Linked DNA regions of Struthio camelus. The protein of the gene in region 1 binds, or shares a complex with, the protein of each later gene. Links are inferred from orthologs where the notes say so. Each region holds a gene or a part of one and is shown in the gene's direction. Other genes may lie near its edges.

The links. Proteins that work in one complex are often made in the same cells at the same time.
Region 2: the proteins of RAB11FIP1 (region 1) and RAB14 are in contact, whole or in part, in a crystal structure (PDB 4D0G), measured with the Homo sapiens proteins. The link is inferred for Struthio camelus from reciprocal best matches to the Homo sapiens genes RAB11FIP1 and RAB14. Residues at the interface, in NP_001002814.2 of Homo sapiens: Glu1252, Ile1255, Asp1256, Asn1257, Leu1259, Val1260, Met1263, Pro1267, Asn1268, Leu1270, Arg1271, Ile1272; in NP_057406.2 of Homo sapiens: Leu28, His29, Ile44, Gly45, Val46, Glu47, Phe48, Gly49, Trp65, Arg72, Arg74, Ala75, Val76, Ser79, Tyr80.

The regions. Positions count from the first base shown.
Region 1 is NC_090968.1:6,998,168-7,005,529, reverse strand, and holds the start of RAB11FIP1 (rab11 family-interacting protein 1), read left to right. Parts: upstream 1-4,357; 5' UTR 4,358-4,422; coding exon 4,423-4,778; intron 4,779-7,362. Other genes in the region: prolactin-releasing peptide receptor-like, read left to right, coding at 814-1,447. UniProt on the Homo sapiens protein: A Rab11 effector protein involved in the endosomal recycling process. Also involved in controlling membrane trafficking along the phagocytic pathway and in phagocytosis. Interaction with RAB14 may function in the process of neurite formation.
Region 2 is NC_090961.1:2,921,002-2,928,817, forward strand, and holds the start of RAB14 (ras-related protein Rab-14), read left to right. Parts: upstream 1-4,811; 5' UTR 4,812-5,229; intron 5,230-5,339; exon of another isoform or gene 5,340-5,516; intron 5,517-5,653; exon of another isoform or gene 5,654-5,717; intron 5,718-7,436; exon of another isoform or gene 7,437-7,506; intron 7,507-7,590; exon of another isoform or gene 7,591-7,658; intron 7,659-7,816.

The DNA.
Region 1 (7,362 bases):
ATCATAAAAGACTGCAAGGAGAAGAGTGCAAGATGCACAGAGATGGAGGAAATAAAAGATTAATTGGCAGCTTTTTTTTTATTCACTTAAAGTGTTGCCTGGAGTCCTCAAGTCAGATTCAGAGAAACTTTATCAGAGGGATGCTCGAGGAACTGAACGGAGCCAGACGCACCTGATAGGGGCTCATTTCCCAAAACAAAAGCAACCTGCCGCCTAACACAGGGCCTTGTGGCAGGGCAGAGAGACGCCTTGTTGCTCCTCTGTCCCCAGGAAACTCTTTTCCCGAGGGGCGGCCGGGGCTGCTGCCACGGAGCCTCGGAGCCTCGGAGCCTCGTTTCCTTTTGTGCTGGGCCTTTCTGCCGTAATTAAATGTCAGAGAAAAATGTCACGGTGCTGAAACAAAAGCAAAGGGCCGTTAGGTGTTTGACTGACAGAAGCAGAAAGGAACGGGTCCTGATGCCTGGGGAAGAGGCTTGGCTGTGGCTTTTGTGCTGGGCTTTGTGGTGGCTGCGGTTCCGTGTGGTTCCCGGTTCCCGTGTGGTTCCCGGACTGGCGAGACAGCAGGGCTCCTGGGGACGGTGAGCAGCAGCCTGCAAAACCCGCCGCGATCCGCTCTCGGGCCATGGGTGCTCGCAGCCCGGAGGGGAAGCCATCCGAGCGCCGCTGTGGGTATCCACCCCTGGAGAAAGCGGCTGTCCAACCCCATCGGCGAATGAGCCGGGGCGCGCAGCTAGCAGCCCAGCCTTACCTGGGCCACCCTGCGCGACGGGGCGGGCTGCACCGGGCACCACTCACCGTGCGTCTCTCCCGCAGGTACTACGCCACCGTGCACCCCCTGAGGAAGCGCATCTCGGTCACCAGCTGCGTCTACGTGGTCGGGGGCATCTGGCTGCTCTCCTGTGCCCTGGTGGCACCGGCGATCGCCCACACCTACCACGTGGAGTTTCGGAGGGAAGGCTTCGCCATCTGCGAGGAGTTCTGGATGGAGAAGGAGCAGCAGCGCCTGGCCTACGCCTACAGCACCCTCATCATCACCTACATCCTGCCCCTCTCAGCAGTCTCCCTCTCCTACATCTGCATCACAGTGAAGCTGAAGAACCGCGTGGTGCCCGGGCACCCCACGCAGAGCCAGGCCGAGTTTGACCGGGTCAGGAAGAGGAAGATCTTCCGCCTCATCGTACTGGTGGTGGCGGCCTTCGGGATCTGCTGGCTCCCCATCCATGTCTTCAACATCATCCGGGACATAGACATCAACCTCATCAACAAGCACTACTTCCTGCTCATCCAGCTGCTGTGCCACTGGTTCGCCATGAGCTCCTCCTGCTGCAACCCCTTCCTCTACGCCTGGCTGCACGACCGCTTCCGCTGCGAGCTGAAGAAGATGTTCACCTTCAAGCAGAGGATCATCCCCACCAATAACTGCGTCGCCGTGAGCGTCATGCTCTGAGGCCTGGGCACGGGGTCCCGGCTCCCCTACGCCCTCCCGCTCCTCGCAGCCTCCGCGCACGCACGGGTCGCTTCAGCCAGCGCTCCGGGCGCCCTGCCGCCTGCCCCAGCACCTCCTCTGCTGGGACGCAAACTTCAGCAGAAGGAAACCCTTTCCTTGCCCAAAGTCCAGCCTGGGGGAAGCGTTCAGCGTTCATTCAGCAACGCGCAAGAGAAATAAGCACGCGGTTGCCAGCCCAGTCAAACCCGCAGGGTCAGAGCGACGTTCCCCGCTGACGCATTGCCAGGGAGTCGTTAACGCTCGCGCGGCCCGTGACGGACCCGCCGAGGGACCCGAGGAACCTGGGGTCTCCGGGCGGCACAGCCGGGCCACCCCGCCGCGGCCTCTCCTCCCCGGCGCGCCCGGGCCGCTGGCCAGACGCCGGCAGAGCAGAGCAGCGGGACGACTGGAAACACAAGGATTTTCTGCTGACGGGGCCCTGCTCCTCTCTGGAACGGGCCCGGCTAATCCCCCGACAAAGGGGCGCCGCGCTGGGCTGCGGGCCGGCTGGAGCAAGCCCTTCCTGCCCGGCGGAGATGGGGAAGAGAAAGGGGGGAGAAAAAAAGAGGAAGGAGGCCGGGCAAAGCGGGGGAAAGCTCTGCGGGAGCGCGGCCGCGAGGCAGCGCGCGGGGGCTGCGCAGAGGGGCTGCAGGAGAGGCCGCGAAAGCAGCCCGAGCCGTCGCGCCTGCTGGGCTCAGCGCGCCCCTCGCCACGGCATGCTGGCAGGAGGCACGAGGGCGCCGCCGCCTGCGCTGCCGGACCGGTTGTGCCTCGTGCCGCGGCTCCCTGCCTTGGAGCGAGGTGCGAGCGGGCGGCAGCTCCCGGGGCCGGCAGCAGGCGAGGCGCAGCTGCACGCTTTGCTTTGGGCCTTCAAACACGTGGTTATTCCAAATTAAGCAAGGAAGTAGGCCTGCAGGAGCGCAGCGGAGGGGGTGAAAAGCATTTGGCTCCCGCGAGGGCTTGGGGGGCTGGCGATAGCTGCTGTTTCATTAACTGAATCGTACGGCTTTCATTAAATGGATCCTCAGGTGCTGGACATGGGATTCTCCCGGGAGTTTGTTTCCGCAGAAGCGTCAGCGCAGGCGAGGGGAGCCAACACCGACCCGGGGTCACCGAGACGGTGCCGTTAGCCTGACTGCCCAGGAAGGAGAAGAGAGGAGGGGAGAGAGGAGCGCGCTCCTCAGAGACAGAGAGCGGCCCCGGAGCTTGCCTCCTCGGCTGCTGGCTCAAGGGGCACCCGCGCGTCCTCGGTCCAGGCTCCCGGCCGGCGCGAGGACGCGTCGCTGCGGCTTCGGAGCCATGTTCATAGAGAGCGGCGCTAACGGGTGTCTCCGTTCACGTGTGGCCCAATGCTTCACGTCCCGTTTAGGGCGCCAAAACACGTGGCGCTCCCGGGCGGCGCGTTGTCCCTAGCAGCTCGCAGGGGGACGGGTGGGTTCCCAAACGGGGGCCGAGCTGCCCGGCGCCGGCCCGCTCCGACTTCTGCGCTCGCGACGACGGGGCACGGGGTGCCGCGGGGGTGCCTTCGGCTGTGTAACCCCCGGGAAGCAGCTGATGCAGGCTGCTCCCAAAGCGGCTGACACCGCCACACCCCGCTGTGCACCCCTGCAAACCCGCGGCACCCCCCCCCGCACACCCGTACATCCCCTGCACACCTACTGCACACCCCCAGTACACCCCCTGCACACCCCAGCACACCCCCGCACACCCCCACCTGTACACCCCCACACCCCCAGTACACCCCCTGCACACCCCAGCACACCCCCGCACACCCCCACCTGTACACCCCCACACCCTCAGTACACCCCTGCACACTTGTACATCCCCTGCACACCTACTGCACACCCCCAGTACACCCCCTGCACACCCCCACACACCCCCACCTGTACACCCCCACACCCTCAGTACACCCCCGCACACCCGTACATCCCCTGCACACCTACTGCACACCCCCAGTACACCCCCTGCACACCCCAGCACACCCCCGCACACCCCCACCTGTACACCCCCACACCCCCAGTACACCCCTGCACACTTGTACATCCCCTGCACACCTACTGCACACCCCCCGCACACCCTGCAGACCCCCAGTACACCCCCTGTATGCCCCCTGCACACCCTGCTGTACACCCCCCGCACACCCCAGTACACCCCCACACCCCCTGCAGACCCCCAGTACACCCCCTGTACACCCCCGCACACCCCAGTACACCCCCACACCCCTGCAGACCCCCAGTACACCCCCTGTACACCCCCGCACACCCCAGTACACCCCCACACTCTTGCAGACCCCACTGTACACCCCCTGTACACCCCCGCACACCACAGTACACCCCCACACTCTTGCAGACCCCACTGTACACCCCCTACACATCCCCCCACACCTGTACATCCCCCCCACACCTACTGCACATCCCCTGTACGCCCCCCGCAAACCCCCCACCCCAGTACACCCCCCCAACCCCTGCAGACACCCAGTACACCCCCTGTATGCCCCCCGCACACCCCCGCACACTCCAGTACACCCCCACACCCCCGCACACCCCCCGCACACCCCCCACACCTACTGCACACCCCCAGTACACCCCCTGCACACCCCCGCACACCCCCCGCACACCCCCCGCAGACCCCCAGTACACCCCCAGTACACCCCCTGCACACCCCCCGCACACCCCTGCACACCCCCCGCACACACCCCCCACACCTGCACACCCCCCGCAGCCCCTCCCCGCACCCCCCCAGAGGCCGCTCAGGCCCCGCCCCCTCGCCGGCCCCGCCCCCTCTCCGGCCCCGCCCCCTCTCCCGGCCCCGCCCAGTTCTCGCGAGAGCGGCGCGCGGCGGGGGCGGTACCGCTCCGCGCCGCTCCCCGCCGGGCCGGGCTGGACGGTCCCGCTCCCGCTCCGCTCCGCTCCGCTCCGCTCCGCTGCCGCTGCGCCATGGAGGCGGCGGGCTCGGCGGCGCGCTGGGCGCCCACGCACGTGCAGGTGACGGTGCTGCGGGCGCGGGGGCTGCGCGCCAAGGCGGGCGGCGGCGGCGGCGGCGGCGGCAGCAGCGACGCCTACGCGGTGATGGCGCTGGGCCGCGAGCAGTTCTCCACGTCGGTGGCGGAGCGCTGCCAGGGCCGGCCCGAGTGGCGCGAGGAGGCCGCCTTCGAGCTGCCGCCGCCGCCGCGCCCCGCCGCCCTGCGCCTCACCGTGCTCCACCGCGCCCTCGTCGGCCTCGACAAGTTCCTGGGCCGCGCCGAGGTCGACCTGGCCGCCCTGCGCGCCGACGGCGCCCGCCGCCACTCCGGGTGCGTCGAGGGCCGGGGCGGGCAGCGGGGGGGGGTCTGGGCGGGGCGAGGGGGGTCTGGATGGGGAGCGGGGGGGTCTGTGTGGGGCGAGGGGGCCTGGGGGGGGAGCGGGGGAGGGGTTGTGTGGGGCGAGGGGGCCTGGGGGGGGAGCGGGGGGGGTTTGTGTGGGGTGAGGGGGCCTGGGGGGGGAACTGTGGGGGGGTCTGTGTGGGGCGAGGGGGCCTGGGGGGGGGGGCTCTGTGTGGGGAGCGGGGCCCTGGGCGGGGAGCTGGGGTGGTTTGTGTGGGGTGAGGGGGCCTGGAGGGGGCTCTGTGTGGGGAGCAGGGCCCTGGGCGGGGAGCGGGGGGCTCTGTGTGGGGCGAGGGGGTCTGGGGGGGGGCTCTGTGTGGGGCGAGGGGGCCTGGGGGGGGAACTGGGGGGGTCTGTGTGGGGCGAGGGGGCCTGGGGGGGGCTCTGTGTGGGGAGCGGGGGCCTGGGGGGGGCTCTGTGTGGGGAGCGGGGCCCTGGGCGGGGAGCGGGGGGGGTTTGTGTGGGGTGAGGGGACCTGGGGGGGGCTCTGTGTGGGGAGCGGGGCCCTGGGCGGGGAGCGGGGGGGTTTGTGTGGGGCGAGGGGACCTGGGGGGGGCTCTGTGTAGGGAGCGGGGCCCTGGGCGGGGAGCGGGGGGGTCTGTGTGGGGCGAGGGGACCTGGGGGGGGCTCTGTGTGGGGCGAGGGGGTCTGGGGGGGGGGCTCTGTGTGGGGAGCGGGGGCCTGGGCGGGGAGCGGGGGGGGGTCTGTGTGGGGCGAGGGGGCCTGGGGGGGGGTCTGTGTGGGGAACAGGGGCCTGGGTGGGGAGCTGGGGGGTCTGTGTGGGGCGAGGGGGTCTGGGCGGGGAGCTGGGGGGGTCTGTGTGGGGCGAGGGGGTCTGGATAGGGAGCTGGGGGGGTTTGTGTGGGGTGAGGGGGCTGGGGGGGTTCTGTTTGGGGATCAGGGGCCTGGGGGGGTCTGTGTGGGGAGTGGGGGCCAGGACAGGGAGCTGGGGGGGTCTGTGTGGGGCGAGGGGGTCTGGATGGGGAGCTGGGGGGGTTTGTGTGGGGTGAGGGGACTGAGCAGGGGCTCTCAGTGGGGAGCTGGGGGCTCTGTGTGGGGAGCGGGGAGCTGGGTGGGAATCTGGGGGGGGGGTCTGGGCAGGGGCTGTGTATGGGGACCGGGGGCCTGGGTGGGGAGCTGGGGGGGTCTGTGTGGGGCGAGGGTGTCTCTGTGAGGAGCTGGGGAGGGGATCTGTGTGTGGAGCAGGGGGGAGTCCATGTGGGGCAAGGAGGCCTGGGTGGGGAGCTGGGGGGGGTGGTCTGCGTGGGGCGAGGGGGCCTAGGTAGGGAACTGGGGCCTCTATGTGCAGCGAGGGGGCTCTATGTGGGAATCTGGGGGCTCTGTGTGGGGTGGGGGGGCCTGGGCAGGGAGCTGGGGGGGTCTGTGTGGGGCGAGGGGGCCTGAGGGGGGTTCATATGGGGAGCCAAGGGGCCTCTGTGGGGCTGGGGACGGGCCTGGGGGGGTCTCTGTGAGGAGGTAAGGGCTCAGTGTGGGGCTGGGGGGGTGCATGTCGTGAGTTGGGGGCTCTGTGGGGCTGGGGAGGTCTGTGTGGGGAGTTAGGGGATCTGTATGGGTATCTGTGGAGCTCAAAGAGTCCTTGTCGGGAGTTGGGGGGGCCCACGTGGGTCTGGGCAGGGGCTTACGTAGGGAGTTGGGGGGCTGGGGAGGCCTGTGTGGGTGGGCAGAGTGGTGGAGCAGCAGGGGCTGGCTGGGTGCTGGGGAGGCCCCCTGTGCCCCATGGAGGGGGGGGGTCACCAGGGGTGATGGGGCCCTGTAGGTCGCTGACGGGGACCTCCTGTGTCCCACGTGGACCTCTACGTCTCGGGGGGCCGAGGACAGTGATGGGGGTGCCCTGTGTCCCATAGGGACCTCTGTGCCCCGTGGGAGACCCTGGGGTGGAGATGGGGGCCCCTTGTGCCCCATGGAGGGGTGCCGAGGGGCAGGGTCCCTCCTGGTGTGTCCGGTCAGGGGCCCCGTCGCTCGGGGGGTGCCTGCTGCCCTGGACGAGGCCGGGGGGCCCTGGCCCCCGCGGCTGCTTGGCCAGGGCGCGCTTCTGCTTTGGTCTTTGGGGGGGCTCTAATAGCCCGGGGAAACGTACCTGGTGCTTTTTTTCAGGACAGCCCTGCTCTGGGCTCCGGTTTCCTTGTTAACGTTGGCATATAAATATTTGACAATTTATGCTCAGAACAATGAATTTGACTAAAGAAACTTAGTGCGTTTGAAACACCTTCTTGATTTGGTAGTGAATGGAAGTACTATACAAGCTGACTGTTTATACGTGTTTCTTAACGAATACGCAGCCTAGTCATGCGTGAGAGTAGATAACTCGGTGTTGTATGGATTCACTTAACTATTGTTTGCAAGACACCAAACTGGGAGACTTTTCCTGTAATATTGAGTGCCAGATCTGTGTCATGCTTGCACCTTTTAACCTAAACACTTGTGGATTACTTTAAAATCGGAGGGATAGTTACCGTTTTGTTACGAGTCGACAGCATTAGGGCAGCGTGAACGT
Region 2 (7,816 bases), on another chromosome or scaffold:
ATAAACCCTCTTATTGGTGGAACTATTAATCATAGCATAGTAGGTAGATCCGATACAATATATTATATCAAAGATAGAGAACTTTGAAATAAAAGAAGTAATACTACATTTTCAGAGAGTGTGTACAGCAATACTAGGAAATGAACTGACTGCAGGATTGAAATGATACACTGCTGACAGTTTGTACCAGTAGGAATATGACATTCAGAAGAGCTTTGCAGAAAGAAATTAGTTGTTTAGCGCATTTTAAAGCAGTTTAAAGCAAAGGGGTCATTAAACGTTACTCTTAGGAACAGCAATAAGCAGATGCTGCAGTACCCTTCTGCTCTGAAAGCTCACAGTATGTTTTCTTCATTTTTCATTATCCATTGGTCCTTGGGCTAAGCTATTTTAAAGGGGCACACTAGAGTCCTGAAGAACGCTATGGTGACTCTTTTAATCCCGTCTCAGAAATGTGTGCTAAGTAAGCTGTTCAGTGCACCTCCAGTTGTTAAAACATGTGGATGTCCGTATTTACTAGGGCCACCTTTACAGAATTAAAAGAGCTACATTTTGCTCATGGTGATTTTGTGGGTAGCACGGTCATGCGGAGGTCACTGACTGCAGACTTTGGCAAGGATTGAATAGACTATGGGGGACCACAACTGCTCAACCTGGAGGTGCTTCTGTTCAAGTGGAGTAGCTAAAGTAAGCCTCTCACTGCTATCCTTGGTTAAAAGGAAATGATTGGGATAAAAAATGACTTACTCTCTGCACTGTTCCAGTCCATGTTCTTCACAAATGCTAAAATGTAATTCAATCATTATTTTAAAATATTTTACAAGGATGCATTTTAAAACAAGGAAGCAGGTATTACAGAGATCATTGTATATAATTTATTTGAAAAGAACAGAATCCTGAAATGTTCTACCAACTGTATGAACTAGGAGCCTTTAATTTTCCTAGATTTGTGGTAAAAAAAAAAAAAAACGATCCAAGAGCAACATTCATGTGACCAGAGAATTTGGATGCAGTTCTTTCTTGATGGAGACTTCAGAAAGAGACACAAAGGAAAGTATTTTCAAGAGCACTGAAATCTGTATTGACCTAACAGAAATCCACAGAGAAGGGTGGGACAATACGCAGTGTTCCCTCTCTAGCAATTTGGTATTGCTACCAATTTAGTGGATTTTAATTACAGTTGTTAGGTTCTGCCCAGATGTTCAGAATGAATAGGCTGAAGTCAGCCTTTTCTCAATAACTGTTGTTGAAATACTGTTGCAAGCTTTCAAGCACACACAAGAATAAAAGAAAGAAGAAATATAGATGCTTATTACCCAGTCTTCTATGTCTTGCTAAAATCTTTTTAATGCTTAAAATTTTACAGGAATATGTGATAAAAGCACAAAAAACAATTCAAGACCACAGCCTTTAAAGCAAATCTGTATTGCATTTTGCCTCATTTGAAAAATGATGACAATTTTATATAAAATATCTTTGGGAGTAAATCACAGAGGTTCGAGTTTCAGATAAGAAAGACTGGTCTTGCTCATAGCTACATAATGGCTTCTAATTTTCTGGTAAATAAGAAATAACAATGACTATATTCCAAAATTGCTTTTCATCCTGTTCAGGATTAAAGTAGGTCTCTACAACTCACTCTTCAGATTTAAGTAATTTGGAGAATTGTTGAGTAATCCTGAAGAAATTGTATCTGCGGCCACGACACAGGAGAAGTGTTTGTCCTGTTAGAGTCAGGGAAGAGGTATAATGTTCTCTTTCTATAGTATGCAAGTAGTTTTGAACTCTGCAATGGTATTAGTAAACCATATAGAAAAGCCAGGGACATTCTTTGCACTAACTTCAAGCAGTTTTTTTGCTCCCAGAGTGAGAGGACTAGGACAGTTTGGAATTTTCACTGAAAGAGCAGATAAAATTCAAATCGGCTCCTTACACCATCTCTCCCTTTGCAGGCTTTGTAATCTGTCATCCTTACTAGGGCATCACAGATGAAGGCAGTTATCATGAACTCCCTTTTGTAAAAAACAGAAAAGCTAACATTGTTCAACTAATTCTACCAAGAAGGAAACATAAATAAAAAGTAGTGAATTGATTTTTATATGCTATTTTAAGAATTTGTTATATAATTTTACAGTTGTTAAGGAAATGTTATAGCATCTGTGCTAATATAATATTTGAGGAAAATACCAAATGCGTAAAGGAACTGTAAACCAGACTGTAACTGGGTCAAAATATTCAGATCATTTTTCTTGGAAGACTCCCTCTTGTGGAAATCATTCTTACTGATTGTTTTGACCTATTTTTCTAGTACAAATCACCCCACATAAGGTATTGCAAATCTTTAAAATGTTTCTATTGCACTGTGTTATCTATTTACAAATTTAAACCTTGACAATAGCAGTTGTGAAGAAAAAATTTTAACTGACAGTAGTCACACAACTATAATAGTTTGATTTTATATCTTTCTACTGAGTCCTTGCTTTTTCTTATTCATAGATATTATGTACTTATTTTTTCCTGTAGAAGTAGCCAAAAAAAGAAGCAAGTTGTTTGTCACGTATGGTTTTCAGCCCGGTGAGAGCCTTCTGCCCACATGATCTGGAGTTCAGCATTCCACTGGCTCCCTGGTAGGGGAGCTGGGTAGGCTGAGTATTTATTAGGGAACAAGTGATTCACTGAAAGCAGCTATTTCAGAAAGCAGAGGATTCCCTATATATTGCTACATTGAGAAAATGGAATTAATAATGTCATAGTAGTTAGAGATGGAAATGTCCATTCTGGAACCATATTTCCATAGGAACATTAATATCACTGGCATGTACAGAAACTGTTCCATGCTGTTTTATGTGAAAGTGCAATTTGCATCTTGGACACTGAGACACAACAGAAGTTGATGCTTTCTATGATGTGCGAGATCCTTTAGTAATCTGTTAGGGGAGGAAGTTAGCTTATTTAAATTCAGTGTCAAGTATATATTTGGGCAGGGAGAACTATTAGCTCTTTCCAATTGCACTTAAGCCTTCATCAACTTTCAATTCTAAAATGAGTAAGTAGAATCTCTCTGCTTGCTTTAATTGAAGCTCTTGGCTTTTGTTGCACTGAAGCTGACAAAGCATCCTGTTCATTTTCAAAACCATAAATCATGCACTGAAAACACGCTGTGTGGCTGCCCTCTAGCAGCTCTTGTAATAATTTCTTTTTAAATAGAGCTGTAACCAGCTTTAACAGGTTTTTTAGGCCCTAAAGCTTTCCAAAAATACAATTTCAAAGGAGTTTCAATTAAACACAATGTAGAGTAAAACTGAAAATCTGAAAATTAGTCTGAAATACTATTACTCTTGATTTTGACTGTCTGAAGTTAAGTGTTTCTGTAATTTCTGTGTTCATATAATAGAAGTTTGTATGTTGAGATAAGAATCTAGGTAAGTTTATTGAACTGGAGATGCACGGAATCCTTCGTAATGTTACTTTTACCTCATGTTTTCATCTCAGGAAACATGGATATTGTAGTGCTTTCTAGCTAATGCGTTAAATATTTTGGAGTCTTCCCTTTACGCTTGACTAATGGTCTTGGTTCTGGGATAAAACACTAGCTAAGGCTTATTTATCTCAAAATTGTACTTACTGGCTGTATCATTGGTGGGAATACCCTGCAAGCACTTTTCTTTTGCTTTGTTCTGTGAGCTTGAACTTTTACAAAGGTGTTACTCCCCGAGGTGGCTGAAACAAAAGAATGAGAGTGAAGGTCTTTGTACTGCGTGCTTTGTGCACAGCTTGTGTTCCTAGGAAAGACCCTGACTTGTGCTTGTAGGTCAGATAAAAAAATAAATGTAGTAATTTGGAGGCAGCTACAGTAGTGACTTTTCAGGTGGGAACACCAAGGGCCAAAGGGCAGTATGATTTCCTGTCTGGTGGGCAGCTTCCAGGAGTATCACTTTACTTTTCCACAGTGGAAAAGTGGAAAAGCTGAGATTTTCTTCAGTGTTAACACTTGCTCACTCACCTTTTGCACATACAGTAGATTTAAGCAGTATGTTTATCACATCTGCATACAAAAGATGCTTTCATTAGTATCTCATGTTATTTTTGTTCAGTTATTTGTAATCTGTATTAGAACGTAAAGCTGCATTACTATCCAGAGCCTTTTTTTTTTTGAACGTTCTAGTCATAGTATCGATGTTTTATCATCCCATATTGGCACTTTTACAACACATCGCACTTGTGTTACTCCGTAGGTCACTCCAGTAAACCATCATCTTTCCGGGAGGCCTGGATGTGGCAGCACCTTTGCCAGACTGAGGTTCCCTCCTGTTCTCTCATCGGTTTGGGTAGAGCGAACGTGCGGGCTCACACCTGCCCCTCGACCTAGGCGCAACAAGACGTTGGACTGTCGCGAGACCCTCCCCACAGGTCTAATTTTGAGACCTTCAGGTCTCGTTTTTATGGTGTTTCTTGGCCTATGTGTGCTTTTCTCGTGTCCTTCCCCCCCCCCATCAATTTGGGCTGCTGGCACCCGCTGGGCGCTCCCGCGCCCGGACCCGCCCGCCCTCACCTGGGCGGGCTCACGGCTCAGGACGCTCACGGCAGGCGGCTCCGCTGCGCCATGGCGCCCTCCTGAGGAGAGGGGCGGGGCCGCGCCCGTGAGGCGAGCGCCCGTGAGGCGAGCGCCCGTGAGGCGAGCGCCCGTGAGGCGAGCGCCCGTGAGGCGAGCGCGCGAGCAACCACCGCCGCCCCGCCCGCCGCTTTCCCGCCCGCCCTTCGGCGCGCGCCGGAGCGGGGCGGGGCGGGGCGATGGGGCGGGGCGATGGAGCGGGGGGGAGGTGGGGGGGAGAGGTGCGCGCGCTCGCGCCTGGCGCCGTGGCCCGCCCCGCCGGGAAGGCGGGCGCCGTGGGGCGCGCGGCCTCCGCGATTGGCTGCGGCGCGGGCTCTCGCGCCCACCTTTGTGCGGCCCCGGCGCCCGTCGAGAGTGGGAGGGGAAACCCCGTGCGAGGGGCGCCGCCATTTTGGATAAGGGTTGGCGGGGGCGGGGGGAGGTGATGGGGGCGCAGTGGAGCCAGCGGAACTGAAGCCGGAGGGAGCCCCAGAAAAAGGCGGAGACTCGGCCCGGCCGCTGCCCTGCCCAACCCAACCCAGCCCAGCCCGAAGCGGAGCCGCTCGCCGTGCCCACAGCGGGGACCGGGCTGCCGCCGACAGAGCCAAGCTGCACAGCCACCCGCTCCCCGAGCCCAGGTGAGGTGGAGCCGGCGAGAGGCGCCCGCCCGGCCGGGCCTAGAGCGCGCTAGGCCCCCGCGGCGGTGCCCGCCGGCCGGTTCCGCTCCCGGCCGGGCCCTCGCGGGCCTGCCGCGGCGGGGGGGAGCTGCAGCAGGTCGCCGTCCGCCTCCCGACCCGCCGGGGAGGGGGGAGCCCTTCCTGCTGCCGCTGCCCGCGGCCCGGCCTAGTCGGGGCCGCGGCGCTGCCCAGCCTCGGCCGCTCTCCCTCGTCGCCCGGCGCCGCGGATGCGTGTGGGGCCGCGGAGGGTGAGGTGGGTTGGGCAGCCGCTAGGCCTCGCGGCGCTGCTGCTGTTGGTCGCCGCCGCCTCCCCTTCCCTCCTGTGCGCCCCGCGGGGCGCGCCGCCATGGCGCACCTGGGGCCGGGGGGTGCGAGCGCGCCTCACCTGCCGCAGCTGCGCGCCTCTGCTAGGCTGCCTGCGCGCCCGCTGTTCTCCGGGCGGACCCGTGCTGTCGGGAGCTCGGGTAGAAAAATAACCTTCATATTTAAAAAAAAAAAAAAAGGCAACAAATCTATGCCACTTCCTATTTGAGGAAGTGGCAAAAGCATTCTAGACTTGTTCTGTTTTTTCTTTTCTCAGCGACTCTTCTGTCCAAACAGAAGAATGAAATTGCCTTTTTTTTTTTCCCTCCCCACCTCGTTGCCTATTGTCTATTTGCGGTACCTTTTTTAAGGATTCTGTGACACCCGTGGATGGTTTTGTCTTGAACTGAAAACATACTGGCTTCATCCTTGCAGTAAACACAGGAAAAAGCACCTGTGTTGGGGTCTGTCTTTCTTTCCTTCTATGGGTGTATTGCTCTTGAGATTATTTGATGTGGATTGTGCTTTCTAGGTCTCCAAAAGGGAGTGAATCTCTGAAGGAGAAAGGTGCTTTGCACGTTTCTGAAGATGTAAAAGTGCCCTTTTATGAGCAAGATTGATTTAGGACAAAGACTACTTGAACAATTTCAACCCACGAGTCAGAAATTTAATTCTTTTAACACCTAAATGTTTTCATTTGAGATGCATTTCTTCTGGGATCTGTTTCTATCTCAGTTTGGGTCGAGGGCCTGTTGTGCTCGAGTGTTACGCGGGCATGAGCAAGAAAATCCCACTCTGGAAGACTTCATACCTAAAAATCAAATAGTTGAATATGCTTAAAAAGGAAGCTGCTAGCTTCCTGTAGGATTTGAACCTGGCCTAGATCTGAGTTGTAGGAAGAAGCTTCTCCATTCTCTTCCCATTTGGAGAGTCACCCAAAGAAAAAAGTTATTGTGAAAGACAGCAATCTGAAAACAAACCTGTTATACTAGAGGTACTAGGATTAAAAACGTAAAGAGAACTTTAAAACTACTTGCTTGTTCCTGTGTCTCTAATGGAATCTACTTGTGAATGGTTCTCATCTTGCTATTTTCCTTACTTAATTTTGTTCAAAAATATACTTCTTCCAAGCTGATGACTCTAGTTTCATGTATTTCTATATTGATTTATTAGACTAACAGCATAACTCTTCTAGCTTCCATATTTGCTATCTCCTAAGCTTATCTGCTACCTGTCTGAAACTTAGTTCTGCAACCTCAAGACACATGGTGCAGGTTGAACTAGACTTCCTGTTATAAAGAGGAAAGTGGGTAAATGAGGATATGCAGATGGATAAAGAACTCCTATGGCTAAAAGCAGGCATTGGAGAGAGTGCTCTCATTGAGTACAGGTATGTCATATTTAATTTAGCTGGGGTGCTAGGTGTGGTTAGTAAGAAATAAGAGGTGGGTGTGTGTATATAAATACAAGAAGTTTCAGAAACAAAATGGGGCTTGATAGAGCAGGATGTGAAAGCATTAAAAGGATAACAAATACAATTGGAGTAGGACTGGATAACTGAGGAAAATCAAAAGATGAAGATGGTTTGATATGTAGTCTTGATGTGTGTGTGGTTTTTAAGGGGGAGGGGTCAAAATCATCATATAGGAAGGGTGGTAAAGGGCTGTGGAATTTCTAGGAATACTTAATAGACCTCAGGTTGAGTTACGGTGTTTTACATGATTAAGGAATGCAGCAAATGCCCTTCTTCAAGAGCAGCTTGAAATAAGGGTCTGTACAGGTGTAAGTTTGGTCTAACCCCGGGAGCCTGTAGGCCTTGTGTGTGTGTGGTTTTGGTGTGTGGTTTTTTTTTTTTTAAAGGAAGAATAACTGGATGTGGAGATAATGGGAACATGTGGAGTGATCTTCAAAAGCAGATCAGAAGTAGTTTGTCTGGTTGGTATCTCTGCTTGTCACTAGTCACTTTACTTCCTATAGGATGATCAGTTCAGCCAGTTTTACTCTCTTGTGCTCTACCAGGTGCTTTACTGAAGCCCAAATGGGAGAACTAAACTAGAGAGGATGACTTCAGAAGAACTGAAGAATGAGTAAGGAACTAGCCAGCGAGAAGCTATGCTGCCAGATAGATGTGAAAAGGAAAGTATTGGGTTGCTAGCAAGCTTCTACTTAGATTCCTCAAGGATCTATCTTAGAAGAGGACTCTTTTAAAGACAAGCCAAATATGTATATATTTGGCTTGATTTTC